Linked DNA regions of Drosophila melanogaster. The protein of the gene in region 1 interacts with the protein of each later gene in a biochemical or structural test. Each region holds a gene or a part of one and is shown in the gene's direction. Other genes may lie near its edges. The genes, in order: Rpt3, Ubqn, gammaTry and deltaTry.

Region 1 (7,949 bases):
CTGCTCCAGCAGGCGGCGCTGCTCCTGGTTCTGCTCCTCCGTCAATGAGAGCGAGAGATCGTGCTTTTGCCGCATCGTCAGCTGCGTCCACATGTCCAACTTGGAGAGATCGCGCAGTCCCAGGTAGTTTGGCTGCTTCAGCTTCTTGACCAGCCGTCCGCCCTCGTTGATCAGCGTGAACTTCTTCACGTAGTCCCACTTCCACTTCCAACTGTGCTTCGTGTGCGGTCTCCGGCGGAATTTGGCCAGCGGTAGCAGTTCCCCCGTGCCGCCAAATTGATCCGCGGTCAGTAGAGTGGGATAGGAGGCGCCGCCAGGCCCCAGCTGACTGGGTCCGTGCAGCATAATGAGGTCTGACTTATGGGATGCGGACGACGATGTGGCTGACGTTGTGGACGTCGAAGACGAGGTGAACAGCCGTCCGTCGAGGTGATTCTGGAGGTTGTGCCGTACATTAGAGATCACATCCTTGTAGAACTTGTCATCGAACACTGAGTTGGCGACGGAGGCGGATGATGAGACGCAGGCCATGCTGGCTGGCAGCCGGAAGACTGCATCCGGATTGACAGACTCCTGCAGAGCCATGTTACCCGCTGCAGCAGTCTGCTGATGCGACTGCGACTGTTGATGCTGATGCTGATTCTGTTGCTGTCGCTGCGTCGCCGCCCGACTGCTGCTCCGGGATTTGCTGCTGGGCGTGGCCAGGGGCGGCGGCTCCTCCTCCTTGCGCTGGTTTCGATTCCGATGGCTGGGCAGACGGTTCTGGGTAAGGCCGAGGCGAAAGAGCACCGGCTCGTCGGCGCCCATCAGACCCGGTTTGGTGGCATGGCCATCCTCCGGATGATGAAGCGAATGCTGCTGGCGCTGGTGTCCCAACAGGTGATCTGCGTCCTGGAACCGCAGGCGACACGGCTGGCAGGCGAAATACTTATCTGCATGCTGCTCGCTGAGGTGCTGGAATAGCTGCTCCAAATGCTTGGCCGGCAGGCAGATCTGCGGGGGCGTGGCCTGGCGGCGATTGCCTTGCTGGCCACACCACTGGCAGCCGGGGAAGCCGCCGGCGGGATGAGAATTGGAGCTGGTGGAACGACCGCTGCAGCGTCGTTCCTGCCGCTCGGTGTGAAACTTGTCCACATGCTTGGCCTGCAGCTTGCCGGAGGCGAACTTCCTATCACAGTACAGACACAGGACCTTCGAGTGCGCGGCTCCACCCAGGCCGGCGGCCTCTTCCCGCTCGCGCTCGCGCTCCCTCTCCCGTTCTCGTTCCCGTTCCTCCGTCATCTGATGCAGCTTCTCCACCAAACGGGGCAGCCGCTCCAGCGGCAGGCTGCAGATCAGCGAGAGCGGCTCTTGTTCCGCTTCCAGCTGATCCTCGTGCGGTTCCACCTCTTCCTGTTCCGCGTCCACATCCTCCTCCTGCCGGGTCTGTCGTTTTTTGCGCGGATTAGATGAGGCAGCGGCCGTGGCTGGTGCCGTTGCCGGTCCAATTGGATTCTTGCCGTTGACCTGCTCCTCCGAGAACTTGAAGCCACGGCGCAGGCCGAAGCGCGACATGGTCTTCATGTGGAGGCCACTGGGTCGTCCGTGGTTGCGTTGCACAAGTTAACTGCTTCGCCACTCCTGCAAGCAGTGCGGGGTGTGCGGACAACAATTTACTGCTGCACGCACACTGCTTCGTTCTTCCTTCTTCTTTTTGTTGACAAATAAACCGCAAGAAGAAGCAGCGAAAAACAAAAACTACTCACACACACGTACGCACACACACTCGCACGCACACCTGCTCAATTGGAAATTATACAATAAACATTTTCAACTCCTCGAATTGATCTCGCTCTGTTATCGGACACTATTGTTTTGGCCAACAGCTATATATAGCATAACTACCACTCCACTGCACAAGACCACACTGTCCACTTGGATATCCCGACTTGGTCTCTCCTGCGTATCTAAATACGTTTCGTTTTGTTTCGTTCTATTCGTTTTGTTCTGTGTTTCGGTTCGTTGTATTGCACTGTATTCCGGGATTTCACGGGATTGCTTTCCGTTTTGTTGTTTTGTTTCTTGTTTTTTTCTTGTATATTTTGTTCTTTTCGCTTGGATACGGACCAGACCAGGAGCGCCAACGGATCCGTATCAGTGCCTTGCACTTAAATTTAAGCACGGCATTGCAGCAGCTCGACCACCAGTGTAGCGCATTCAATTTTCCCTGGCCGTTCTTTCCACCCTAACAACTGCGTTAGGAGGTATCTAACGTTTAGCCCAAATCGATGCGTGCGTACGGCGCAGAGGGGGCGGCGGCGCGGCCAGAGGGGGCGGGGCACGGCAGCAGGACAACGACGACAACGACAACGATACTTTGTGGGAAACGTACTCGGAATCGGAATCGGAATCGTACTCGTACCCGTTCTCTTTCCCGTTCTGATGCTAGCGATATTGGGGAAACGATTTTTCGGCGACGGCGGCGGCATTATCAGCCATCGAATTGTGCTATATAAACAGCAAATTCGATTTCACTGTCCTACCAGCGCTCGTGTGTGTATATATTTGGTTCGTTCGCACACGCACACATAGCACACACAGAAGCAGCAGGAGCGACCGAAATGTTAAATGTGTGTGTTTTTCTACTCTTTTTTTTTCTTATGGGAAATCGAAATCGCGTCAAAATGGTCGGGTTTTGCCAGTGTGTACACACTTGTACCCGCTGGCGAGAAAGGTACTCGAACTATCGATAGTTGCGTCTCGAGCAGCGATACTTTGGCATGGTTCTACGTGAATTGCTTAGAATAACTTGCGATTTTATCAATTACTTATAAGCGATCTGCATTCGAAATAGTTTTTGTTAGTAATAAATCTGTTATCAGCTTTTGTTCCAATCAGAGCTGGTATATATCGGGCAATTATCAGACAGCTGATTTTTTCCCATCACCAGATGCTTTGAAACGTATTAAAAAATACTTTCCGGATATTAAGTGAGAAACATGACATGTGATATTAGATTTATTTGTATACAACATTTTAGCTTTACAGACTAACTGGTATAGGATATTGTCCAATAAAGAGGAGTTGCTTTCTTATCAGAAAGAGTATATATCGAAAAAAAAAACCGATTGAAAGAGCAGCACAATTTGATAGATAAATGGCCCCATCGATAGATCACAATCGATTGCGGACAGGGTTGCCACCACAACGCACTGCTGGCTTGTTTTTGACGAGTCATTTTGGTCGCCTCGCAGAAAACGCAAACTAATAAAACGAGACTCATTGCTGAACGAAAAGAATGCCGTACAACATGGACGTACTGATACCGGAAAAGGTGCGTAGTTGCCTCTCTGCGCCGCCTGGCATGCGTACTAATTACCTCTTTCCCAATTCCACTTTTTCCACCAGGACGAGCTCTCCGACTTGAAGCTAAAAGATGCGCACAGTTCCCTGGACGAACTGGACATGGAGGATCTCTACGTGCGTTACAAGGTGAGTCGTCCACTGGTCTTCCATTTGATCACCCATCTAAGCGGCCATTGTGTTGTAGAAACTGCAAAAGACACTGGAGTTCATTGAAGTGCAGGAGGAGTACATCAAGGACGAGCAGCGAAACCTGAAAAAGGAGTATCTGCACGCCCAGGAGGAGGTGAAGCGCATCCAGTCGGTGCCGCTGGTGATTGGCCAGTTCCTGGAGGCCGTCGATCAGAACACGGGCATTGTGGGCTCCACCACCGGCTCCAATTACTATGTGCGCATCCTGTCCACCATCGATCGCGAGCTGCTGAAGCCCTCCGCCTCGGTGGCCCTGCACAAGCACAGCAACGCGCTGGTGGACGTGCTGCCACCAGAGGCGGATAGCTCCATTTCGATGCTGCAGCCGGATGAGAAGCCCGACGTTAGCTATGCGGACATTGGTGGCATGGACATGCAGAAGCAGGAGATCCGCGAGGCAGTCGAACTGCCGCTGACCCACTTCGAGCTGTACAAGCAGATTGGCATCGATCCGCCGCGCGGCGTGCTTATGTACGGTCCGCCCGGTTGCGGCAAGACCATGTTGGCCAAGGCGGTGGCCCATCATACGACGGCGTCGTTCATACGCGTCGTCGGCTCGGAGTTCGTGCAGAAGTACCTCGGCGAGGGACCGCGCATGGTGCGCGACGTTTTCAGGCTGGCCAAGGAGAACGCGCCGGCCATCATCTTCATTGACGAGATCGATGCGATTGCCACGAAGCGTTTCGATGCGCAGACTGGCGCCGATCGCGAGGTGCAGCGCATTCTGCTCGAGCTGCTCAACCAGATGGACGGGTTCGATCAGACCACGAACGTTAAGGTGATCATGGCTACCAACAGGGCGGACACACTCGATCCGGCATTGCTGCGACCTGGTCGATTGGATCGTAAGATTGAGTTCCCGCTGCCCGATCGCCGGCAGAAGCGACTCGTCTTCTCCACCATCACCTCGAAGATGAACCTAAGCGAGGATGTCGATTTGGAGGAGTTTGTGGCGCGGCCGGACAAGATCTCCGGTGCCGATATCAACGCCATTTGCCAAGAGGCGGGCATGCACGCGGTGCGTGAGAATCGCTACATCGTTTTGGCCAAGGACTTCGAGAAGGGCTACAAGAACAATATCAAGAAGGACGAGCAGGAGCACGAGTTCTACAAATAGATTATATTAATTCATACACACTACTCCCGCCCCATTTTTTCCCCCAACACACTAAACTCTTCTTTGTACGCATAAAGTTATAAACATTAATAAAAAAATAAAAAAAAACAAAACAACTTGTAATCGAAGTGCCAAGCGATCCTTAATCCTAAACGAACCAACAGCCAACAGTGGGCAAAGCATTCCATTTACGCAACAACAAACTAGACAAAAGCCATATATTTGATTCGGTGAAAAGAGTGGATGCAAACAAGGAGCATTGGAAGGATAGCCGGATCGACGGCTGGCTTACTTCATCAGGGAATTGACCACGGCGTTCACATTGATGGCCTTTAGGTCGGCATACGTCTGACCCGTGCCCACGAACACAATTGGCTGGCCGGTTATGTAGGTCATGGAGATGGCGGCGCCCACCTTGTCATCGATGGTATCGAACTTGGTCAACACTATGCCGTCGATGATGTGCGGGTTCTCGTTGGATGAGTAGTCGGCCAGCGACTGATTGAACTTGACCAGCTGGTCGACGGCTTCGTTGCCCACCAGTGCCTCGCCCACGAATAGCACCAGATCCGGATTGTTCACTTTGATTAGCTTGGACAGGGAACGCATCAGCGGCTCGTTATCCTGCATGCGTCCGGCGGTGTCCACAAGCACCACATCCACTCGCGTATCGTGGGCAAACTTGATGGCCTCCATGGCAATGCCGGCGGCATCCTTGCCGTAACCCTTCTCGTACAACTGCACCATGTTGCGTCCATCGTGCTTGGCCGCCGGATGCAGTGCGTTCAGATGGCGTGTGTGTGTGCGCAACTGCTCGACGGCACCGGCTCGGAACGTATCGCAGGCGGCGATCAGAACGTTGAAATCGTTCTCGATCAGCCAAAAGCAGATCTTGGCCAAATTGGTGGACTTGCCGACACCATTGACACCGCAGAAGATTATCGTGTACGGGCGGCCGTTGCGCTTCGATTCGAGGGCATCGCGTATGATGTCGATGCGCCGTTTGGGCGATAGTATCCTCACCAGCGATTCCGTGAGCGCCTCCTTCACCTGGCTGGCGATGCTGTCGAATGTGCCCATTTGCTTGCCATCCAAACTGGCGGCCACCGAGTCGCACAGCTTAGCTGCTATCTCAGAGGCCACGTTCTTCGATATCAGATGGTCGCGCATCTTCTCCAGCGCCGGCTGCAAATCTGCCAGCGACATGGTCTTGGCGCCTACAATGCCCTTGAAGTAGGATAGCAGGCCACCGCGCTTGCCCTTCTTTGACTGCACCTGCTCCTCGGCCTCCCCCTCAGAGGATGCATCCTCGTTGTCAGCCTCGTCCTCGCTCTCCACATCCAAGTCGCGGATGACGCCCTGCATTGTGCCCACCAGCTGCGAGTATGAAAAATGATAATAATGAGTTCGTGATTTCACTTTGAATGCGAGTCGCGTTCGGGGAAAGTGAAAGTTAGTACTCACCTCGCTGTTGATGTTCTGGTACTGCACATCATCGGGCGAATCCCTGGAGCGATCGAGCAGAGCGGCATCCTTGGAATTACCGCCCAGATCCCAGACGCGTGGCTTCTTGCCGGCCTTCTCGGGCTTGCTGGACTTGGAATCACTGGGCGAGGTCTTCTTGGTGGGCGTGAGCTTTTCGCGCAGCTTGCGCCGTTTCTCCATGATGATCTTGTCCATTGGGGAGCCCGTCGGTGGCGACGACGGCTGTGATTTGGATGGTGGCGGGGCCTCCTGGATGTTCACCCGCTTCTCCACCGGCTTCTTGTCGTCCTGTATCATCGAGGCGACGGTCTTTTTCGATTTCTGTGACTCGTTGTAGGAGCGCATGGTTTTAGGTGCTTTCACTTGCTTGGCGGACGCCTCCTCCGCGGCGCTGAGCACGCGTCGATATTCGCGATCGAAGTCGTAGTCATCGCCCAGACGTATGTCGCCGTACTTTTCCTTGAAGGCCGCCTGCATGTCGGCCAGGAATCCATCTAGGTAGTTCAGTTTGATCACCTTCTGGAAAATGGCCGCATAGACCAGGTCCAGTTCGTTGTCCAGCTTAAACTGCACGGCCAGGTGGTCCTCCTCGTAGTACTTGGCCTCTGTGTTGCGCTCCTGCAGCCGCACAAAAGCACATTAGTGTCCATTGGTGCATTCACAACCAAATCCGTGCATGCACTTACCTCCAGAATGACGCCACGTATCAGGCTGTTGATGCAGGAGGCGAAACTGTTACCGGACGCGTTCGAGTGCCACAGCACCACTCCGCCCTTGGTGAATATCACCACAAAGTCCAACATTTTAGCTACGCTTCCGATCCGTCGTCACTTTCAACAACAACGCACTCTACTCGCATTGCATTTGCATCAAATCAAAAGTTGCCACACGTTCCACGTCACTTGCCTAGCGATGGCAGCGCGCTCGATAGCTACGCGCGTTATCGATATCGAAAGCTGTCACTTTTGAAAGCCGAAAAACCGTTAAATACAAATAGTTCAATTTGAAAAAAAAAAAAACAATAAGCAATATTAATTTCACTAGAAGTCTATTATTCATATGAAATGCAAATACAGTAGTTCCAAGCTAACTTATACATTTCAAATGTAGGGCAGCAGTTAGAGGATTCCCTGTTTTTATGATTAAAAACTAGTTCCCATTCGAAAATAAATGAAGAGTCCTTTGTTTTTGCTTTACACATCTTTAATGTTAAATTTAGTTGTGTATGTTCACGTTTCATTACAATATAATTTATTATTTATATTTAATAATACATTATTAGAGTCCAAGTCCTAACACTTTCATTATTTATACCGCATAATATCGAAGCACTCATTCAGTTGGTTTTGCCATATTAACATTGTTTTAAAAACTCGCATTTGGTGGATTAAAAAATGGTTTATCATTATCATTCGCCTGCCTTGGGTTTTGTTTAGTATTTTCATTTTTAAAGTGCTCTGAGGAAATGCCATAACAAAAAGATTAAACGTCTTGATTGGATAAATACTTTAGGAGAAGCACGTGAGTATGTTTCGTTCACATTTTCGATTTAGTTTAGTTTGCTTTGTTTGCTTTCTTTTTTACTTTTCTTTTTAAGGCTACGATACTAGGTTCTCCGCTATTTGGAACAGATTTGTGTGTGTGTTTTTTCTCAGTGTATTTTGCTTTGTTGTTTCGTTTTTATCGCAGCACAAACAGCAGTGTGTGGAAATCCATGATTTGGTTAAGTTTCGTTTGATTTGCTTTCGATAGTTTAGTTTTTAGTCGTGTAAACATAATTAAATATATGCAATAAATATTAGTACAAAATGAA
Region 2 (10,235 bases), 8.6 Mb from region 1:
TGGGCTCAAAGTTTTGCGGCGTGACGCGCACCTGCCACACCAGGCCGCGATTGTAGTTGGACCGACGGGGCATCTCCCACGACAGGCACACGGAGCTCTCGGTCCTGTTGAGCAGGGTCAGGTTCTGGCCAGGTCGCGCCGGCACCAGACGCTCAAAGTGATTGATCGTGATCGGCTGCGTCTCGTGGCCCAGGGCATTGGAGATGGACAGTCGGAAGTAGAAGGTCTCGCTGAAGCGCTTGTAGTTGTCGTCGGTTAGGTTACAGGTGACCACTGGCGCCGAGTCGAAGTTGCAGTCCAGTGTGTTGCTATATCGCCAGTCGTTGTTGGTGTTGTAGCTGATGTTGTACTTGGTGATGACCGTGTTGGGCGGCTGGGTGAAGTTGCACACCATAAACTGGAAGTCGTAGTCCAGGCAGTTGAAGTCGCGCACCAGGAGCGGCCTGGTGCCCACGTAGACCTTTGACTTGTTGATCACATACTCGTCGCACATGCAGTGGTAGTCGTTCTCTTGCTCCACGGCATTCGTGTCGCTAAACAGGATGGTGGTGTTGTTCAGGATTCGGATGTGCTTGGAATCGCGGTAGACGCGGCCGCCGCCTGTAAAGTACAGCTTCTCCACCGGGCAGTCCTCGGCGCTCTTGCCGTTAAAGTAGTCTTCGTTGAGGGTGCAGCTCAGATTAAAGTCGCCGCCGATGAGCTGCTCCACCTTGGAGGGAATCACCCAGCCAGGATCCAAGATGGCGTTGGCGCCACCCCGGCAGCCGGCAAGCAGCATGAGCAGCAGGACGAGCTGCTCCTGGGCCACCATCTTCCTGGTCCTGGTTCTGCTCCCAATCCTAATCCTAATCCTAATCCCCTCCTTCCCTTGCTGTTAAGGTTTACTCTGGCTCTCTCTCTCTCTCTCTCCCACTCTGTCTCTCTGTCTTTAGCTCTTTTCCTCTCTTTCTGTCTCTCTCTCGCTCTTACACACGCGCGCACACCAAAACGGCGCTCTCTCACACACACAAGAGCACCTTGCTGTTGGCCTCGCACTTGTTGGCTGTGTATTGGTGGCCAGTTCTCGGAAACCGTTTATACGCTGCGTTCCTGGAAGTGGCTCTTAAACATTTCACTGCCCAGGTGTGGGCTTCTTGTCCGGGGCTTCACTACGACTAAATTACGAATAGGGCTATCAGGGCCTTGCAATGCCAATTGCTCGCTTCGAGCAACTGTGGTACCGTGTTACTGTTTTGTCTCTGGCTCTCTCGCAAATGCAGAATCCTCAGTTGGCTAAGGCGATCGCTCTCCTCCCTGCCCCCGCTCGCGATGCTGACGATATATGTTGTCGACGAGTTGCTTGTCCGCAGTGTGACCGCTTATCGAAAGTTATCGCAGTCCGATATGCGATATCACTGGGGCTACCTGTCGACGAACGGCCCCACTAAATGCGATAGGTGCCAAACATCGCATTTCAGCCGAAATTCGAATTCTAGGCCACCCGTTGCTTGTATCTCTAGAACGCCCTCTGCCGAATACGTTTTCAAGCAGAGCAAACTACTTGGCAGCGGTTTTGGACGCGTTCAAAGCGTTCAATTGGCCGCTATCGATTCATCGATTGGTGGTTGATACGTCAGCCCTGGCGTGTGTAAGAGTCAAAATCGAAATCCATCGTGAGTGTGTGTGTGTCCGTGTGAGTGAGAAAGTGACGAATTACTTTTCATCAAATGGGAAATAATTTAGGGTGAAAACACGTATATATTCGGAACACATTTAAATTACAGACGTGATAACATCTCGAAAGAACCAGCTACATCGGTGCAAATTAAGCTAAACGAGAACACCGCAAATACACCATCGAAATGGCGGAAGGCGGCAGCAAGCGCATCAACGTGGTTGTAAAAACGCCAAAGGACAAGAAAACGGTCGAAGTTGACGAAGATTCTGGAATAAAAGATGTGAGTACGGAGCACGTGACCCGCCTGACTTGGTTGCTGGTACCCCAAACCCTTCTGGACCCTTCCATTCATAGCGATGGACCACCTCCCTCCCTCCCTGCTCTTTGCCCACACCCCCGAAAGTATTGGGAAATTAGTGCCCGTAATCGCGGTACAGTGCACTTTGCCTAAGCCGCACACAACACGCGCAGCTGGTACAGTGCACTTTGCACAGTGATTGGTCTTCTTCCCATTAACACACATAAATTGAAGCAGAGGCATGGGAGCGAACATTTAATTGAAAGGGGAAACTAGACCATGGGCACATAATAATGACAACAATCACACCATTCTCGCCCCACAGTTCAAAATTCTGGTTGCACAAAAGTTCGAGGCGGAGCCCGAGCAGCTCGTGCTCATTTTTGCCGGCAAAATTATGAAGGACACGGACACCCTTCAGATGCACAACATCAAGGACAACCTGACGGTGCATCTGGTGATTAAGGCGCCGACGCGCAACAACGAGCAGCCGGCCCGACAGCCGGCTGACGTGCGCCAAACGCCCTTTGGCCTCAATCAATTCGGTGGCCTGGCCGGAATGGAGGCACTTGGAGCCGGATCGAACACGTTCATGGATCTGCAGGCGCGCATGCAGAACGAGCTGCTCAACAATGGCGACATGCTGCGCTCCCTGATGGACAACCCGATGGTGCAGCAGATGATGAATAATCCGGATACCATGCGTCAGCTTATCACGTCCAATCCGCAAATGCATGACCTGATGCAGCGCAACCCCGAGATCTCGCATATGCTTAACAATCCGGACCTGCTGCGCCAGACGATGGAGCTGGCCCGCAATCCCTCGATGTTGCAGGAGCTGATGCGTTCGCACGACCGCGCCATGTCGAATCTGGAGTCGGTGCCGGGCGGCTATAGCGCCCTGCAGCGCATCTACCGCGATATTCAGGAGCCAATGATGAACGCGGCCACGGAATCCTTTGGTCGCAACCCCTTTGCCGGCCTGGTCGACGGCGGCGGTTCAGGAGCCGGCAACAACCCGCAGCAGGGCACCGAGAACCGCAATCCCCTGCCGAATCCATGGGGCGGTGCCAATTCGGGAACCAATGGAACAGTCGGTGGCTCCGGCGCCGGCAATCCGACGGGGGATCTGCCGCCGAACAATGTGCTCAACACGCCGGCCATGCGAAGCCTGCTCCAGCAGATGGCCGACAATCCAGCCATGATGCAGAACCTGCTGAACGCGCCCTACACGCGTTCCATGATGGAGTCCATGTCACAGGACCCGGACATGGCCGCGCGCTTGCTGAGCAGCAGTCCGCTCATGTCTAACAATCCCGCCCTGCAGGAGCAGGTGCGTCAGATGATGCCGCAGTTTATGGCCCAAATGCAGAACCCCGAGGTGATGAACATGCTGACCAATCCGGATGCAATGAACGCTATCCTGCAGATCCAGCAGGGCATGGAGCAGCTGCGCAGCGCGGCCCCAGGTCTCGTTGGCACCCTGGGCATTCCACCGCCACCACCGGGTGCCGGCACCGGAACGAATCCAGCCAGCGGCGATGGGAGCGGGGGCAACAGCGGTGCCAGCACCAACAATGTTTCGCCAAGCAGCGGCCTCAACGCCGGCACCGGCACTCCAAACCTGGCCCCGGGCGGTGGTCCCAACGCGCAGCTCTTCAACGACTTCATGATGCGCATGCTCAACGGGATGTCGAACAACGCGGACAACACACAGCCGCCGGAGGTGCGCTACCAGTCGCAGCTGGAGCAGCTGAACGCCATGGGCTTTGTCAACCGTGATGCCAACTTGCAGGGTGAGTGTCCTAGTGGGTCTTGGTGGGTCGCCTGCCCTGTGCGATGATTCTAATCCGCTCTCTTGTGTTTGGTTTGCAGCTCTGATCGCTACCTTCGGGGACATCAATGCGGCGGTAGAGCGACTGCTGTCCCTCAACCAGTTGTCCTTGAGTTAACAAGGCTAAGCCATAGCCATAACCAAACTGTACACAACCTGTCTATATATCTACGAACTACAACTACTATATATACCACTACGGCCCTGGAGAACGCGAATGAGAACACGACTAGTTAGGAGGACAGGTCCTAAACCCAAACACACACCCTCCGCCAAAAAATTCCACGGTCAGCGCTGCTGATCGCTTGTTTCCCCATCAAGCCGGAAATGTCAGGAATCCATCATAGCCACATGCCAACATACCAACACCCCCAAGACACAAAAAGATGGCTCCAAACGAGCATAGTTGCCTCGAGATCGGAGAGATACTAGATATAGGTGGGTGATATGAATGACGCCGGTGAGAATGTTAGATAGGGATCGCATACCAAAGTGTTAGCACTTTCGTAGTTGATATCAGATTTTTTTTTTTTTTAAATAATTTACATTTCGTGAGCTCGGAGAATCCTTTAAGCGGAAATGCGTTAGCCGAAAACCAACTTGAATATGCATACTTTGCTCACGTAATGCATAGTTTTGCACGCCCAACAACTTCAATCGAAATACTTAACGCATTTCTTTATCGGAGAACTTCGTTAATTTTCAATAAAGTTAAGCGGGAATGTGCACTTTTGTCATTGATAATGTAATAACTATTTTGTCGCCAACAGATGCGAATTCCAGTTTTGTGTTTAAGAAAAAAGAATCGGTACAGAGATCAGAGGCGTAGTATATATCCTGTGTTCTGGTCAGGCAGTTTAGTTTTAGTCGGGTGCTAGTGGGCGTGGGCTATAGCCGCAGTCCTTCTGACTCCCCCCCCCCTCCATTTCTCGCGATCGGAAAACGTTCTGGAAATTGCAAACAACTGCAAACAGGACAAACGTACAGTAGATATCGGCTATATGCAAAGACGACACTGTCTTGGGGGAATCCTAACATACGCGCGAGTATGCTGTAGTCAATCAAAATGTTTATCGATTCGTTAATATAAGAGCAATCTCCAAGCGTTATTTATCCCACATCCCGTTCAGAGGAATACAAATGTAAAAAGTTGTTGCACACAAGCGATTTGCATGCTAACGATATCTACTGTAAGTTAATGTGTGTATATAGGTATATATATATGTATATACATATATATATATATATCAAAATATTCCAAGGTGTTAACAAAAGACGTAAAACTATAAAACAAAAAAAAAAAAAAAAAAAAAAAACCAACTCCTTAGTAAAGAGAGGAAGCCCCAATAATAACTTGTAATGTAATTTACTCTAAGCTTTCGTATATAAAACCTATAACCGACCATTTGGGTTCCCATTTCCGATCAATCACACACACACACACTTTCGAAAAGCTTTCCTTCGCGCGCTCACCGTTTATATAAGATATGGATTCAGTGTATACCCTGTAAGTGCTACCACCACATAGCCTCGCTCGTCCGCTGTGGGATTGGCTGGTCGGCCGGCTGGCTGGCTGGCCGGCTGGCTGGCTGGCCGGGTTGTTGGTTGGTCAGTTGGGCTAGTGGACTAGTGGAACTACGTTTATTTGTTTAGTGAAGGAAGTGAGGCAAAGTAATTAAATGTAAATGATCACATGTTTGAAAACGTAATAAAGCTACTTTGGTTTTAGATTATAGCCAACCTCGTCTATTACTCTCTACTATCTCATTTACTTCCAAAGGCATCCGAAATAAAGCAGCTCACCCACTCTGGCTTAGTTTTAGTAAGCAGTACTTTCTAATTGCTATTCCAAATCTTTACTGCAGCTTAAACGTTTATAATAACTTATACACTTATAACTTATAACTTATGTCCTCATGCCGACAAGTTAACCAGAGCATCCCAGATCCAGTCCATGTAGAAAGTCACATTGGTGCAGACACTTAGGCCCGCACAGGAGCTCAAGCCGAAGATGATGATGCCAAACTGGAAGGTGCGATACGTGCCCCCGTAGAGAATTTTTGCGCTAAAGGGGCCACCGGAATCCCCTTTGCATGCGTGGCTCGTCTCGGTGTGGACGCATATCTGCGACTCGTCCACCTGCTGCTGGAACTTCAAGGTGCAGAGTTCGCGATCGATACGATCCCCAACGGAATGCTTCAGCACCCGTGGTATGCTGCGAAAGTCTTCTGCAGTGGTGCCCCAGACGGTCAACTGGAATCGGTCGATGGCCGCCACTGGCTCATTGATGAGCAGGCAAATGGGGCGCACGAAGTCTATAGGGGAAAGGCAGTTCTGGTTGAGACTTTCGAGGGCAACGACTGGATATCTCCCACTCAATTACCTGAATACTGCACCGCATGCTGCATCCGGAGTAGGCCAATGTCGTACTGTTGGGCTTGTATTTTGCCGAATCCGGCGTGCACGATCTTCTTGTCGATCCGAACGCAGTATGCGTTTGATAAGCGAGCACCCGAGCTGCAATTTTGTCCAGGATTCCAGGCGTCGAAATCACCCAAGTGCACCTGCCTACAGGGAGAGATTGGGTAATGGGCTGATGACCACCACATATGCTGGCGAATGGGCAGGACTTACATGGCTTCTCTAAATACGCAATGTGCTGCTGTCAAAACAAATCCTGGAATGGTTAAAATTTAGCCTTGCGTGAGCTAAATAAGACACTCATCATTTGGCACAAACACTCACTATGATTGATGAGCGATCCACTGCATTTGGCCTTGCCATTCACTATCACCGAAACAATCCAAGGATTGGCCTGTATGTCAGTGCTGCTATCAAAGTAATTCCACCAAGTTAGCTTAGCGTTAGTTGGAAGCGACCTTCCACATTCCGCGTCGAGCAGGAAAGCCGATCCCTCTCGGGATCCGAGAAATAGAGAGGCAAAGAGGATCAGGAGTGCCGCTATGACTTTCTTCATTGTAGCTCGAGGCCCGAATGGAAACCGAACTTCGTGCCATTGGGTTTTTATTATATAAATTTGACACTCACTTATCGCAAGTTCCTCACTTCTGCGAAAGTTGCAAATTGGGCTGTGTTCTACGCGTGCTTCAATGAAATTTTGGCTGGAACACATGCCACATCTATATCCATACATTTAATCACTTTTATTTCTTATAAAAAATTGATTAATTTTGGATTTTTGATTCACTCAATTAAATGGAATAGCAGAAATCAATATGGATAACATACATTTTCATTTGAACTATGACATTTCGTTTATTTAATATCTAATATTAAGTTTTTACCGTTATTTAAACTTTAAATAAAGTTCTCTTATTATAATTACTCCGCGTAATAACGGAACATAACAAGGTGTATAGGGTAGAAACACCCTTTGAAGATCTTGAATTAGACAAAGATACACTGATGGTGCGAACGAGTCCGGAGTACTCTTCGGATCTGAAACCCTATACCTTTGAATGATCCGTCTATCATATCGAGTGGGAAATTTCCTTTAACGCCGTGCACGCCAAGTTAAAGGATTAAGTACCCTTGCAGTTAAACGTTAGGCATAATCTATAGTCTACAGGTACATACATATCTATAGTCAGATTCAATTAAAATGCAATTCCTTTGTCTGAAATCTTGAAAAATTATAATAAATAAATAGAAATCCAATCGTTTAATTTGCGCCACTTTATTTTTTTAGCTATAGGATACACTGCAGGAAGACAGCATTTTCGTTCCGATTTGCATAGTTGTATGTATGTATGTACATATGTACATATGTATTTAAACGAGCTGACAGAAAATATATGGCAACAGAACTAAGAGACCATGGAATCGGATGGACATCCACAGTCTCTGGGATAACATCCGTAAACCGACCACGCTCAGCGGAATAGGAGGGAGCTTCAAGAATATCGTAATTAACATTCAGACTTAACTAGAACAAATCCGTGCCTGCAGTTCCAGTCACCGACTTTTAATCGGTAAATCACCGCTCTTTTAAAAATGTTGAGCGCTTAAACACCGCACAATTTGCACGAAAGCTACCGGTGATTTTAACATTGGCATGTTTTAGGAAATCATCGGTATGAAAAAAAAATCCCAAAAACATCGCTATTAATCACCGTTGTTTAAGCGCATTTTAACGGGCCAATCGTCCTTTGATTCAGCGTTTTTTCATCGCTGCTTTAGCGGTTTTGGGTTTTGCGGTTTATGGTTTTTCATCTTTGGGAGAGAGATCGCTCGCGAGAGAGTCGGTGTCGGTGAGAGAGTGTGATGTTTCTCAAGATCGATGAATTGGGGAACTGCAGGGAAGGTATCAACACACTGACAAAGTCAAAAGAGCGCCAAATCTTCGCTATTGATCACCGTTGTTTGAGCGCATTTTAATCGTCCTTTGATTCTGTTTTGCGGTTTATTAGTTTTCATTTTTGGAAGAGAGAGATCGCGTTCGAGAGAGTCGGTGTCGGTGAGAGGGTGTGATGTTTCTCAAGAGCGATGAATTGTGGAACTGCATGGAAGGTGTTGAATATCTTCTACCGAAAATAACGGTATCTAATCGCCCATCTACTTTATGAATATTTTTCGTGCGTAAGTGAATGTAAAATCATATATGTACATATGTATGTACATATGTACGTTTGCAATTGGTTTATTACAGCAGCGGCTTGAGCGAACAATCGAAAAACATTAAATATAGTATGTTATAGTAGGATATAGTACAACTACGGTTAAGGCACTCATACACTCTAGCACGCGCACAGGCACACACGCCAAATCGTAACGTATCGTACAGCTAGATGGGGTATTAGTCATGTCGGCGGATGCGGGGGTGAGGGGGGAGTAGGTGACGGAGGAGGCGGAGGCGGAGGAGGTCAGAGCTCCTCGAAGAAGGCGACACGCGCCTTGGTCGAGCCGGACTTGAGTTTCTTGAGCGTGGAGTATTTATTTTCGCCGGCCTTGATCTGCGCCTCGCTGAGGATGTCCAGGTTGCTCTGGTTCTCCTCAATCTTGTGCGGCGCGATCTCGGAGCGCAGTGTCTGCAGTTGACTTTGCACCTGCTTGGAGTTGCGCAGGTAGTCGAGGTGGTTGCGCTCCATCTCATTGGTGATCTGCTCCATCTCGTTGTCGGTGAGTATGAACTCCTTGGGCTCGAAGTCGTCCGAAATGCCGCTGGAGTTGTCACCTTGGACCAGGTAGTGTGACGAGTGGGTGGTCAGCTCGGCGCCGCCGGCGGTCTCCAAATCATTGGTTGAGCTGCTTGTGATCAGGGAGGGTGTGCTGATGGCCGCCATGCTGGACGCCGTATTCGCCGCGTGCGACACACTGGAGGCGGTCAGCAGGCTATCCGTGGAGGACTTGCGGCCGCTGTTGAGGAATTCGAGCAGGCGAGCGGTGGCCTCGCGCTCCGCCATTTTGGCGCAGATCAGCTCCTTGCGCAGCTTCTCAGTCTCGGCCTCCCGCTTGTCGTTCTCCACCGTCAGCTGGTGGACATAGAAGTCGGCGTCGCGAATCTTCTTCTCCAGGTCGTGCTTCTCCCGCTCGATTTTCATTTGTCGCTCGCGCAGCCGGTCCATTTCCGTCTTGAAGTGGTTTGCCTTGCACTCGGTCAGCTGCATCTGCTCCTCGTTGACACGACTCTTTTCGAAGTACAGCTCCTTGGTCTCTTCGGAACGCCGCTGGGATACAGGGAGAAACTCAATATTATAGATCAGAAGCCACTGGGCGGAGTGAGTCTTACAAGTGCATCGTTGGCCATGCGCATTTCGTTTTGCAGGTGCTCCATGCTCTTCTCCAGCTCGTAGCGCTCGTGCTCCGCCTTTTCGCGCAGCTTCTTTTCCCTGATGAACTTTTTGCGTTCGATCTGGCGGCGTTGCTTCTCCTCCTTGGCTTGGGCCTTCATCTGCTGGATTTCCATGGTGTCGGGTTTGCGGCGGCGCATATATAGATCGTGATTGCCCTTGCACAGGTCAAGAATCTGCAAAGCACACGATGCAAGTGTAGTATGAATATGGGAACATGAACATAGTGAAAATACATATACATATTTCAGTTGTCACAACTGCCCTCCTTACCATTTTGTTGATGTGGAGGTCCTGCGAGTAAAAGATGAAATTCGAAACCTTGGCATCCACCAGGCGAATGGTGAACTTCTTGTCGTCGAAGCTGACGTGCCGTATCTCGTTCCACTGGAACGTTGTCTTTGGCGTTAGCTTATCGCGCTCATCGTAGATGTTTAGGCCCACGGAGGTGACGCCCAGCCACAATTTGGTTTTGTTCTTATTCTGGTGGGGAACACAAACGATAAGATTCAGATGCGCCACGTGAAAATCAAGGCTCTCACCGTAATAGGAAAGTAGTTTACTCCGTACATGTCCAGGTCCTGAGCAATCTTCAGGTACTCCATCTCCACCTCGTCGCGCGTCATGGGCTCATGG
Region 3 (7,362 bases), on another chromosome or scaffold:
ACTATGTAGTAATTGATCGAAAACGGGTACCTCAACAAATTACCTTTAATTTATTAAAATGATTTAAACCATTATTAACCTCCCGACAGAAATCTAGGTGTTTGTTATTTTTCAGGAGGTGAGAATACATTTTTTAGAAGGTTTCCTTTCCCATTTGCTGAATAAGACACATTACTGTTGAATCAGTAATAGGTCAAAACCACAATGAAACATAATAAAAGTAATATCCAAACTGAAATTTATTTCGCATACTTCTTAGGCATTGCTAATAACCCAGGAGCGGAGGGCAGCAACATCGGCATAGACACCGGGGTAGTTGGAGTAAGCGCATCCGTATCCCCAGGAGACAACACCGACGAGGACTCCGCCGGAGACCAGTGGGCCACCGGAGTCACCCTGGCAGGCATCCTTGCCGCTGGCAGCAGCGCAGATCATGGTGCTGCGGATCTGGCTACCGTATCCGTAGGTGGAGGAAGCACACTGGCTCTGGCTAACGATGTTCACGTTCACGTACTGCAGCTGGGAGGGGATGGAGCTGGATCCGTAGGAGAGAGTGCCCCATCCGGAGACGGAGGCCGCAGCGCCGTTGGCGGGGTTGGAGCTAGCCAGACCGATGGCCTTGATGGTGGAGCTGAAGGTCAGGGCGCCGTTGATCTTGATGATGGCAATGTCGTTGACCATGGTGTTGGCGTTGTAGCCCTCGTGGTTCTTGAAGGAGGACACAGAGAAGGTGACACCGCCGGAGCTCCAGTAGCTGGATCCAGCACGGATCTGCAGGACGGAAGCGGACACGGACTGCAGACAGTGAGCGGCGGTCACGATGACGTTGCTGGAGTAGATGGATCCACCGCAGGAGTGGCTTCCACTGCGCTGCAGGGAGATCTGCCAGGGGAAGCTGCTGATGGTGGTAGCAGAGCCGCCGACAATGCGGCCATCCAACTGAGGCAGGAGTCCCTCAGGGACGGTGCCTCCCAGGGCGCAGGCTACTGCAGACAACAAGATCACGAACTTCAGCATGGTGCGAATCCAATGAGTTGACTCTAAACTGGACACCCCTTTTATACGAGTTTCCAATCTGTTCTTGGCACTATAATCACAACTTTCAATTATTTTTATCACCTGCGTGTCAGGAAAACCCAAATAATACCGTTGAAGTGCCCAAATGATATTCCACAACTCAGAAGTCGCACGGCTCTTTATCACAAAAATAAATAAAAATGCAAGGAAAGTGTAACTACTTTTATATTACCTTTCTAAATAATTCGCGTTCTTTTTATTATATTTAATTTGCAAGGTATTGATGGGAACGTCTTTTTTCGACTTACATATTTAAATAGGGGATTAAACTTGTACAATAACATTGTGGAATTTTTTAAAAGTGGATGCTTGTCATTCAACTTGATTTAGTTCTAATCTAATCCAATTATTATACATAATTGTGTGCATAACTATTAATATTATTGGCTTTTTAAAAGAAAATAACTGTTTAGCATTTTAATTTGTGAATTTTGTAAAACCATTAATTTTAAGAACAATTTAATCGCCTTTGCATTAATTTTAATTACATGATTATGCGTTCAATTGCATTGTTTTCTAGTAATGCTCATGATGTTTCTCATAAGTTATATAATTTCTTTTAAAAAATTATGGTGTCTGTTTATTTAAAACACAATAAATTGTTTATAGAAATATAAATTGTTTTAATTTCGTTTAAACCCCGATATCTTTATGTGACTATCTTTTTCAAGCTATTTAAATGACCAACTTATTGCAAAAAAAAATCGTTTGGCATGAATCTGGACTTTGTATACGTATATACTTCTTATTCGCGAAATCTATTTGTCGGTCACACATTTAAAAAATATTTTGGATTTCCCTGACAAGCAAGTGATAAAAATAATTGAAATTTATGATAAGAGCGCCACAAAGAGATAGGTCCCTGTATAAAAGGGGTGTCCAGTTTAGAGTCAACTCATTGGATTCGCACCATGCTGAAGTTCGTGATCTTGTTGTCTGCAGTAGCCTGCGCCCTGGGAGGCACCGTCCCTGAGGGACTCCTGCCTCAGTTGGATGGCCGCATTGTCGGCGGCTCTGCTACCACCATCAGCAGCTTCCCCTGGCAGATCTCCCTGCAGCGCAGTGGAAGCCACTCCTGCGGTGGATCCATCTACTCCAGCAACGTCATCGTGACCGCCGCTCACTGTCTGCAGTCCGTGTCCGCTTCCGTCCTGCAGATCCGTGCTGGATCCAGCTACTGGAGCTCCGGCGGTGTCACCTTCTCTGTGTCCTCCTTCAAGAACCACGAGGGCTACAACGCCAACACCATGGTCAACGACATTGCCATCATCAAGATCAACGGCGCCCTGACCTTCAGCTCCACCATCAAGGCCATCGGTCTGGCTAGCTCCAACCCCGCCAACGGCGCTGCGGCCTCCGTCTCCGGATGGGGCACTCTCTCCTACGGATCCAGCTCCATCCCCTCCCAGCTGCAGTACGTGAACGTGAACATCGTTAGCCAGAGCCAGTGTGCTTCCTCCACCTACGGATACGGTAGCCAGATCCGCAGCACCATGATCTGCGCTGCTGCCAGCGGCAAGGATGCCTGCCAGGGTGACTCCGGTGGCCCACTGGTCTCCGGCGGAGTCCTCGTCGGTGTTGTCTCCTGGGGATACGGATGCGCTTACTCCAACTACCCCGGTGTCTATGCCGATGTTGCTGCCCTCCGCTCCTGGGTTATTAGCAATGCCTAAGAAGTATGCGAAATAAATTTCAGTTTGGATATTACTTTTATTATGTTTCATTGTGGTTTTGACCTATTACTGATTCAACAGTAATGTGTCTTATTCAGCAAATGGGAAAGGAAACCTTCTAAAAAATGTATTCTCACCTCCTGAAAAATAACAAACACCTAGATTTCTGTCGGGAGGTTAATAATGGTTTAAATCATTTTAATAAATTAAAGGTAATTTGTTGAGGTACCCGTTTTCGATCAATTACTACATAGTTTAACTTATGTTAACCGAACTTACTCTTTAACAAAAGAGAATGCTATATTCGAGTTCCCCGACTATCAGATACTCTCGTTACTCAGCTAGTGTCAGGGTGAACGAACTAGCATCTTTCTTCTGGCATATCGATAGAAACTCCACAGTGAAAATGAATGAATGAAATGAATGAATGATATGAATGAAATGAATGAATGATATAAATGAATGAATGAAATGAATGAAATGAATGAAATGAATGAAATGAATGAAATGAATGAAATGAATGAAATGAATGAAATGAATGAAATGAATGAAATGAATGAAATGAATGAAATGAATGAAATGAATGAAATGAATGAAATGAATGAAATGAATGAAATGAATGAAATGAATGAAATGAATGAAATGAATGAAATGAATGAAATGAATGAAATGAATGAAATGAATGAAATGAATGAAATGAATGAAATGAATGAAATGAATGAAATGAATGAAATGAATGAAATGAATGAAATGAATGAAATGAATGAAATGAATGAAATGAATGAAATGAATGAAATGAATGAAATGAATGAAATGAATGAAATGAATGAAATGAATGAAATGAATGAAATGAATGAAATGAATGAAATGAATGAAATGAATGAAATGAATGAAATGAATGAAATGAATGAAATGAATGAAATGAATGAAATGAATGAAATGAATGAAATGAATGAAATGAATGAAATGAATGAAATGAATGAAATGAATGAAATGAATGAAATGAATGAAATGAATGAAATGAATGAAATGAATGAAATGAATGAAATGAATGAAATTAATGAATGAAATGAATGAATGAAATTAATGAATGAAATGAATGAATGAAATTAATGAATGAAATGAATGAATGAATGAATGAAAAAAAAGTTTTGATTGGTTTGTGGGCGTTAGAGTGGGCGTGGCAAAAATATTTTTGGCGAATCGATACAAATTTACAAAACAATAAAAATGTGAAAAAAAATCAAAATATTTTTCAAAATTGTGGGAGGGGAGGGAGGGGAGGAGGGGAAAGGGGAAATATGGGTCTATGTCTCTAGAATCTGTATGCCTAATCTCAAGCTTCTAGCTTTTATAGTTGCTAAGAAACTCGACAGACGGATGGGGCTATCGATCCTGATCAAGAATATATGTACATTATATGATTGGAAACACTAACTTGTAGCTGTTAGATACATTTAAACGAATCTATTATACACTTTTACTCTACGAGTAAAGAGTATAAAAATAAAATGGTTACGAATATATCGTTATAAAGTAAGTCTTATGTAGAATGATGCGTATCGAGCCTATAAAATTCATATTCTTCTTGATCATGATCTAGATTTCCCTATCCGCCTAACGTACAGTCTTGGAAAACTAATAGAGCTTTAAAGTTGTAGTTAAAAATGCATGTTTTATTTACGACTACATTGCGCAAGTTTGCTTCTTAATAATGCCTAGTTGTTTACAATTCCAATCACGCTAATAATCCTTAGGGCATTCTAACAGAATATGGGGATAGTTAAATCCAATCAATCAATTTCCATAGTCCTAAAAGCAGTCCCTTTACTGCTTGCACAACTCACTATATCTAATAGTCATTGCACTCGAACAGTCATTACCATCTAAAAATGTGAACCCTGTGTCCTGATTTTTAACTAAGACCATCTTTTAAAATAAACTGACGACCGTCATAAACTGTTCATATATGATTTATTTCGAAAAATAATTAGGCGTTGTTGATCACCCAGGAGCGGAGGGCAGCAACATCGGCATAGACACCGGGGTAGTTAGCGGCAGCACATCCGTATCCCCAGGAGACAACACCGACGAGGACTCCGCCGGAGACCAGTGGGCCACCGGAGTCACCCTGGCACGAGTCCTTGCCGCTGGCAAAAGCGCAGATCATGGAGCTCTTGATCTGGTTTCCGTAGCCATAGGAGGAAGAAGAGCACCGGCTCTGGCTGACGATGTTCACGTTGACATAACGCAGCTGGGAGGGAATGGAGCTGGAGCCAGAGGACTCGGTACCCCATCCGGAGACGGAGGCAGCAGCACCGTTGGCGGGGTTGGAGCTAGCCAGACCGATGGCCTTGATGGTGGAGCTGAAGCTCAGAGAGGAGCTCAGATGGAGCACAGCGATGTCGTTGACCATGGTGTTGGCGTTGTAACCCTCGTGGTTCTTGAAAGAGGAAACCTTGGCGACGACGCCACCAGAGCTCCAGTAGCTGGATCCGGCGCGGATCTGCAGGGAGGAGGCGGACACGGACTGCAGGCAGTGAGCGGCGGTCACGATCACCCTGGCGGAGTAGATGGATCCACCGCAGGAGTGGCTGCCACTGCGCTGCAGGGAGATCTGCCAGGGGAAGCTGCTGATGGTGGTAGCAGTACCGCCGACAATGCGGCCATCCAACTGGGGCAGGAGACCCTCGGGGATGGTGCCTCCCAGGGCGCAGGCTACAGCCGACAACAGGATCAGGAACTTCAGCATGGTGCGATTGAATGGATACTCTTCGAACCGAAAAGTGTGCTTATATCGGGGGTCACTATCTCGGGAGGCGTTTAATCAATGGACAAGTGAGATTCCTCGTGGTTAAAGTGGATAACGATGTGGAGTGGTCGTCGTGTGATAAGCTGATTATTTCTAAATATCACCGCCTATATCGATGGTGAAAATGACGCAACAATTATGCTGAAGTTGCAGCTGTCAATCAAGTGGAGATATTTGCCGCGGGGACTGTATAAAAGGGGTTTTGATCCGCGAATCAGCATACAAACGATTAAAATGTTGAAATTCGCGGTACTTCTTTCCGTTTTGGCCTGCGCCTTGGCTGGCACCATTCCCGATGGCCTGCTGCCCCAGTTGGATGGTCGTATCGTCGGTGGTTATGAGACCAGCATCGACGCCCATCCCTACCAGGTGTCCTTGCAGCGCTATGGATCACACTTCTGCGGTGGATCCATCTACTCCCACGACATTGTGATCACCGCCGCTCACTGCCTGCAGTCGATTGAGGCCAAGGACCTGAAGATTCGTGTGGGCAGCACCTACTGGCGCTCCGGCGGCAGTGTCCACTCCGTTCGCTCCTTCCGCAACCACGAGGGCTACAACTCCCGCACCATGGTCAACGACATTGCTATTATTCGCATCGAGTCCGATCTGAGCTTCCGCTCCAGCATTCGCGAGATCCGTATTGCCGACTCCAACCCTCGTGAGGGCGCCACCGCCGTGGTTTCCGGCTGGGGCACCACCGAGTCCGGTGGCAGCACCATTCCCGATCATCTGCTGGCCGTTGATCTGGAGATCATCGATGTGTCGCGTTGCCGCTCGGATGAGTTCGGATACGGAAAGAAGATCAAGGACACCATGCTCTGCGCCTACGCCCCACACAAGGATGCCTGCCAGGGTGACTCCGGTGGCCCACTTGTCTCCGGAGACCGCCTTGTCGGTGTTGTGTCCTGGGGCTATGGATGCGGTGATGTGAGGTATCCCGGTGTCTACGCCGACGTTGCCCACTTCCACGAGTGGATCGAGAGGACCGCCGAGGAGGTGTAAAGCCAGACAAACACTTGAAATAAATCGCAATTGAATCAGCATTGATATCTGTTTCTCTATTTGGGCCCAATTGCGTCGCAGGTGTAAAGCCCTCGAAATTGCGGCTAGATAAGAATTGTAGCGTGGGCTGTATATAAGGTTGGACGGGCGGCATGTAAGCCAGCACTTGTTAGCAACGCCCATCATGTTGAAGATCGTGATCCTCTTGTCCGCCGTGGTCTGCGCCCTGGGAGGCACCGTCCCTGAGGGACTCCTGCCTCAGTTGGATGGCCGCATTGTCGGCGGCTCTGCTACCACCATCAGCAGCTTCCCCTGGCAGATCTCCCTGCAGCGCAGTGGCAGCCACTCCTGCGGTGGATCCATCTACTCTGCCAACATCATTGTGACCGCCGCTCACTGTCTGCAGTCCGTGTCCGCTTCAGTCCTGCAGGTCCGTGCTGGATCCACCTACTGGAGCTCTGGTGGCGTCGTCGCCAAGGTTTCCTCTTTCAAGAACCACGAGGGATACAACGCTAACACCATGGTCAACGACATCGCTGTCATCCGTCTGAGCTCTTCCCTGAGCTTCAGCTCAAGCATCAAGGCTATTAGCCTGGCCACTTACAACCCAGCTAACGGAGCCTCTGCCGCCGTTTCCGGTTGGGGTACCCAGTCGTCCGGATCCAGCTCCATCCCCTCCCAGCTGCAGTACGTGAACGTGAACATCGTTAGCCAGAGCCAGTGTGCTTCCTCCACCTACGGATACGGTAGCCAGATCCGCAACACCATGATCTGCGCTGCTGCCAGCGGCAAGGA
Region 4 (5,920 bases), on another chromosome or scaffold:
GCTGTTAGATACATTTAAACGAATCTATTATACACTTTTACTCTACGAGTAAAGAGTATAAAAATAAAATGGTTACGAATATATCGTTATAAAGTAAGTCTTATGTAGAATGATGCGTATCGAGCCTATAAAATTCATATTCTTCTTGATCATGATCTAGATTTCCCTATCCGCCTAACGTACAGTCTTGGAAAACTAATAGAGCTTTAAAGTTGTAGTTAAAAATGCATGTTTTATTTACGACTACATTGCGCAAGTTTGCTTCTTAATAATGCCTAGTTGTTTACAATTCCAATCACGCTAATAATCCTTAGGGCATTCTAACAGAATATGGGGATAGTTAAATCCAATCAATCAATTTCCATAGTCCTAAAAGCAGTCCCTTTACTGCTTGCACAACTCACTATATCTAATAGTCATTGCACTCGAACAGTCATTACCATCTAAAAATGTGAACCCTGTGTCCTGATTTTTAACTAAGACCATCTTTTAAAATAAACTGACGACCGTCATAAACTGTTCATATATGATTTATTTCGAAAAATAATTAGGCGTTGTTGATCACCCAGGAGCGGAGGGCAGCAACATCGGCATAGACACCGGGGTAGTTGGAGTAAGCGCATCCGTATCCCCAGGAGACAACACCGACGAGGACTCCGCCGGAGACCAGTGGGCCACCGGAGTCACCCTGGCAGGCATCCTTGCCGCTGGCAGCAGCGCAGATCATGGTGCTGCGGATCTGGCTACCGTATCCGTAGGTGGAGGAAGCACACTGGCTCTGGCTAACGATGTTCACGTTCACGTACTGCAGCTGGGAGGGGATGGAGCTGGATCCGTAGGAGAGAGTGCCCCATCCGGAGACGGAGGCCGCAGCGCCGTTGGCGGGGTTGGAGCTAGCCAGACCGATGGCCTTGATGGTGGAGCTGAAGGTCAGGGCGCCGTTGATCTTGATGATGGCAATGTCGTTGACCATGGTGTTGGCGTTGTAGCCCTCGTGGTTCTTGAAGGAGGACACAGAGAAGGTGACACCGCCGGAGCTCCAGTAGCTGGATCCAGCACGGATCTGCAGGACGGAAGCGGACACGGACTGCAGACAGTGAGCGGCGGTCACGATGACGTTGCTGGAGTAGATGGATCCACCGCAGGAGTGGCTTCCACTGCGCTGCAGGGAGATCTGCCAGGGGAAGCTGCTGATGGTGGTAGCAGAGCCGCCGACAATGCGGCCATCCAACTGAGGCAGGAGTCCCTCAGGGACGGTGCCTCCCAGGGCGCAGGCTACTGCAGACAACAAGATCACGAACTTCAGCATGGTGCGAATCCAATGAGTTGACTCTAAACTGGACACCCCTTTTATACGAGTTTCCAATCTGTTCTTGGCACTATAATCACAACTTTCAATTATTTTTATCACCTGCGTGTCAGGAAAACCCAAATAATACCGTTGAAGTGCCCAAATGATATTCCACAACTCAGAAGTCGCACGGCTCTTTATCACAAAAATAAATAAAAATGCGAGGAAAGTGTAACTACTTTTATATTACCTTTCTAAATAATTCGCTTTCTTTTTATTATATTTAATTTTTGCAAGGTATTGATGGGAACGTCTATTTTCGACTTACATATTTAAATAGGGGATTAAACTTGTACAATAACATTGTGGAATTTTTTAAAAGTGGATGCTTGTCATTCAACTTGATTTAGTTCTAATCTAATCCAATTATTATACATAATTGTGTGCATAACTATTAATATTATTGGCTTTTTAAAAGAAAATAACTGTTTAGCATTTTAATTTGTGAATTTTGTAAAACCATTAATTTTAAGAACAATTTAATCGCCTTTGCATTAATTTTAATTACATGATTATGCGTTCAATTGCATTGTTTTCTAGTAATGCTCATGATGTTTCTCATAAGTTATATAATTTCTTTTAAAAAATTATGGTGTCTGTTTATTTAAAACACAATAAATTGTTTATAGAAATATAAATTGTTTTAATTTCGTTTAAACCCCGATATCTTTATGTGACTATCTTTTTCAAGCTATTTAAATGACCAACTTATTGCAAAAAAAAATCGTTTGGCATGAATCTGGACTTTGTATACGTATATACTTCTTATTCGCGAAATCTATTTGTCGGTCACACATTTAAAAAATATTTTGGATTTCCCTGACAAGCAAGTGATAAAAATAATTGAAATTTATGATAAGAGCGCCACAAAGAGATAGGTCCCTGTATAAAAGGGGTGTCCAGTTTAGAGTCAACTCATTGGATTCGCACCATGCTGAAGTTCGTGATCTTGTTGTCTGCAGTAGCCTGCGCCCTGGGAGGCACCGTCCCTGAGGGACTCCTGCCTCAGTTGGATGGCCGCATTGTCGGCGGCTCTGCTACCACCATCAGCAGCTTCCCCTGGCAGATCTCCCTGCAGCGCAGTGGAAGCCACTCCTGCGGTGGATCCATCTACTCCAGCAACGTCATCGTGACCGCCGCTCACTGTCTGCAGTCCGTGTCCGCTTCCGTCCTGCAGATCCGTGCTGGATCCAGCTACTGGAGCTCCGGCGGTGTCACCTTCTCTGTGTCCTCCTTCAAGAACCACGAGGGCTACAACGCCAACACCATGGTCAACGACATTGCCATCATCAAGATCAACGGCGCCCTGACCTTCAGCTCCACCATCAAGGCCATCGGTCTGGCTAGCTCCAACCCCGCCAACGGCGCTGCGGCCTCCGTCTCCGGATGGGGCACTCTCTCCTACGGATCCAGCTCCATCCCCTCCCAGCTGCAGTACGTGAACGTGAACATCGTTAGCCAGAGCCAGTGTGCTTCCTCCACCTACGGATACGGTAGCCAGATCCGCAGCACCATGATCTGCGCTGCTGCCAGCGGCAAGGATGCCTGCCAGGGTGACTCCGGTGGCCCACTGGTCTCCGGCGGAGTCCTCGTCGGTGTTGTCTCCTGGGGATACGGATGCGCTTACTCCAACTACCCCGGTGTCTATGCCGATGTTGCTGCCCTCCGCTCCTGGGTTATTAGCAATGCCTAAAAAGTGTGCGAAATAAAACGTATATTCTGACTATAAACTTGGTCTTTTATTTTTATTGCGCAATTAACAAATTAATCCCGGGCCGCCGAGTTCCATAGTCGATTCTTCGTCTTAAAATTCGCCTTGTCGCCCTTGGTCACTGGACGAAGATGAGCCGCATCCACTATGTTCCTGATGGCAATTGGCTTACATGCATTTTTCAATTTGAGACATGTTTATTTGTATTGCTTACTTGAATTCTTCGTAGTTCTGAGTGCTATAAACAGCCCTAAGTTTGGCATCGTTGCGCAGTTCATAGAGTTCTCCATCACGGATGCACTGCAAGCAGCTCTCCCGCAGACGGATAAGCTCCTCCGCGGTTATCTTCCAGTTATCCATGTCGGTATTATCTCTCAAAAGTCCTTTTTTCGATATTCACAACATCTAAATAAATTTGTTTGGCAATAGTTGCCTGGGCAACGTGTTTTCATATCGAACTAGAGAACCGGGTAAGGAGCAGTGCTGACCAAGACCAATCAAGGGTATCAGTAATATATACTAACGATAAGCCATCAATTAGCCGAAGATTAACTTTTACAGCCCTAGTAAAAAGCACGCCATGAAGGGGTTTCGTGGACAAATACGAGCAGTTTGCACTTGGCTTTCGGAATGGCTGTTTACGGAATAGTGGCTACGGTGCTGGTCCTTTTGCTGCTCGGCGATGCGTCAGATGTCGAGGCCACTGGACGAATTATTGGCGGAAGCGATCAGCTGATTCGTAACGCCCCCTGGCAGGTGTCTATTCAGATCAGTGCGCGCCACGAGTGCGGCGGAGTCATCTATAGCAAGGAGATCATCATCACAGCCGGACACTGTCTACATGAGAGATCCGTGACGCTGATGAAGGTGCGTGTGGGTGCACAGAATCACAACTACGGCGGCACATTGGTTCCTGTGGCGGCGTACAAAGTCCACGAGCAGTTTGATTCCCGCTTCCTGCACTACGACATTGCCGTGCTTCGTCTGTCCACACCACTGACCTTTGGCCTCTCAACGAGAGCCATCAATTTAGCCAGTACGAGTCCATCGGGTGGAACAACAGTCACTGTCACGGGTTGGGGCCACACTGATAATGGAGCCCTCTCCGATAGCTTGCAGAAGGCCCAGTTGCAGATCATCGATCGCGGAGAGTGTGCCTCGCAAAAGTTTGGCTACGGTGCGGATTTTGTGGGCGAGGAAACAATTTGCGCTGCCAGCACTGATGCAGATGCCTGTACGGGAGACTCTGGAGGTCCTTTGGTGGCCAGTAGCCAGCTGGTGGGCATTGTATCCTGGGGTTACCGGTGTGCGGACGACAACTACCCCGGTGTCTATGCCGATGTGGCGATTCTGCGACCTTGGATAGTCAAGGCGGCCAATGCCATATGAACAGATTTTGGAAAATAAAGACCATGCTTAAAAAAGTTTAAGAATGCAACTCCATTAATATTCGCCCCCCAGGTGGAATCGAACCACTTCGACGCAAATCGACTACGGATTTGAAGTCCGCACCCCGGACCACCGAAGTTCAGTGGGGCATTTAGTGTGCTAGAGTTTCCCTAATTATATACACGTTGTGCTGAATAAGCACTTGGGAATTTTAAGAGTACGTGTAGAGCAAATTCCAGTAGATCTGAGGGCAATATAGATAACATCGGAAATCACGAATTTCATGTATAGTGTTATATGTCTTCTTTGGTCAATGTTTTATCGCATCCAAGCTCACCAGGAACACCACGAGTTGGTTTAGGTAAAAATTTAAGATATACGCATTCGAAACGAATGTCTTGAAATCTATAAAAGGGATAAAGTTTATTACAAAATATTAACTCAGAAAATCAGCATTTTTAATTTATGGAATGCAGTGGCAAATGCATATATAAAATTAAAGAGTAAATATCGCATTCAAAGGCGATTTCAATACCATTGAGAGGACTCATAGAATTTCAACAAAAGATCAAAGAGATTAGATAATGATAATAGTTATTCCGCCCGAGTACGCATCACTTCCGTGGCTGCTGGATGTGGATCTGGGGCTTCTGCTGCACTGCAGCCGGTGGCTTGGGCGAGTGGGCCACCTGGGCGGAGGCGGGCGTAAAGTCCGTGTTGCCCTTGACGGGGGCACCGCTCACAGAGCCGGAGTTCACGGCAATGGGTTGCTTTAAAGGATTAGAGGATAAGTTAGTTTCCATTGAAAACCACATACTTATGTCAATAGCTCACTGTCAGTCCAGTACAATCCTCTGCATCCTTGGGCGCGCGTTCTGCCGTCGGCGCTTTGTGCTGCACAATTCGCATGCCACCAGCCTTCACTATAATTAAATAACAAAAACATATAGGGTTGGCAACAAATGAGGCTTGGCCACAGTAGCCGATTCAAGCCGTGTTTACGTAAAGCGGCTATTAAAAAGTAAGTAAGCCATACTAGTCGTCCAAAGTTGACATGTTATTATTTACATTGTACGAAGATGATTAAGTCAATGGCATTTTATAAACGTTAAGGATAAAATATAAGGCGTAAAAAGCTACTTTAAAAAGTAATAATTTCCTATTCAGTTAACGTTATTGTTTGAATTGCACGTGACGTCAGCATAAAGTACAAATACAAACATACATTTCTTGAAAGCTATGCGTTTGCTTGCCTGTGTTCGCTTATTTGTTTACTTATCAGCTTTGGCCGAAACAGGTTAAGATACTGATAAGGGCGCAGATATTCTGGCAATTGATTTGATTGGGTGCATTATTGATTGCCAACAAGGCAGTTTGTTCTTATAAGATTCAATTGCTGCCAAAAATCGAAAACTCGTCTGCATCGACACACACACACCAATGCAAGTGCACTTACATGCAGGTGGGTG

Evidence for each region.
Region 2: the proteins of Rpt3 (region 1) and Ubqn form a complex in vitro, tested with the Drosophila melanogaster proteins (one study listed by BioGRID).
Region 3: of the proteins of Rpt3 (region 1) and gammaTry, one has a biochemical effect on the other in vitro, tested with the Drosophila melanogaster proteins (one study listed by BioGRID).
Region 4: of the proteins of Rpt3 (region 1) and deltaTry, one has a biochemical effect on the other in vitro, tested with the Drosophila melanogaster proteins (one study listed by BioGRID).

What each region holds. Positions count from the first base shown.
Region 1 is NC_004354.4:11,122,036-11,129,984, forward strand, and holds Rpt3 (regulatory particle triple-A ATPase 3), read left to right. Parts: upstream 1-3,065; 5' UTR 3,066-3,277; coding exon 3,278-3,313; intron 3,314-3,387; coding exon 3,388-3,471; intron 3,472-3,529; coding exon 3,530-4,651; 3' UTR 4,652-4,750; downstream 4,751-7,949. Other genes in the region: CG11122 (uncharacterized protein), read right to left, coding at 1-1,563; SrpRalpha (signal recognition particle receptor alpha), read right to left, coding at 4,940-6,028, 6,116-6,754, 6,823-6,939.
Region 2 is NC_004354.4:19,682,160-19,692,394, forward strand, and holds Ubqn (ubiquilin), read left to right. Parts: upstream 1-1,648; 5' UTR 1,649-1,841; coding exon 1,842-1,937; intron 1,938-2,280; coding exon 2,281-3,751; intron 3,752-3,830; coding exon 3,831-3,907; 3' UTR 3,908-5,499; downstream 5,500-10,235. Other genes in the region: dome (domeless), read right to left, coding at 1-811; CG14227 (uncharacterized protein), read right to left, coding at 5,704-6,104, 6,173-6,357, 6,424-6,466, 6,535-6,766; Mer (merlin), read right to left, coding at 8,673-9,476, 9,539-9,775, 9,873-10,082, 10,142-10,235.
Region 3 is NT_033778.4:11,344,482-11,351,843, reverse strand, and holds gammaTry (gammaTrypsin), read left to right. Parts: upstream 1-1,973; 5' UTR 1,974-1,988; coding exon 1,989-2,750; 3' UTR 2,751-2,783; downstream 2,784-7,362. Other genes in the region: CG30031 (uncharacterized protein), read right to left, coding at 256-1,017; betaTry (betaTrypsin), read right to left, coding at 4,741-5,502; epsilonTry (epsilonTrypsin), read left to right, coding at 5,797-6,567; alphaTry (alphaTrypsin), read left to right, coding at 6,752-7,362.
Region 4 is NT_033778.4:11,353,051-11,358,970, forward strand, and holds deltaTry (deltaTrypsin), read left to right. Parts: upstream 1-2,268; 5' UTR 2,269-2,282; coding exon 2,283-3,044; 3' UTR 3,045-3,078; downstream 3,079-5,920. Other genes in the region: CG30025 (uncharacterized protein), read right to left, coding at 548-1,309; CG13202 (uncharacterized protein), read right to left, coding at 3,116-3,215, 3,277-3,422; iotaTry (iotaTrypsin), read left to right, coding at 3,693-4,451; CG12384 (uncharacterized protein), read right to left, coding at 5,066-5,221, 5,286-5,374, 5,908-5,920.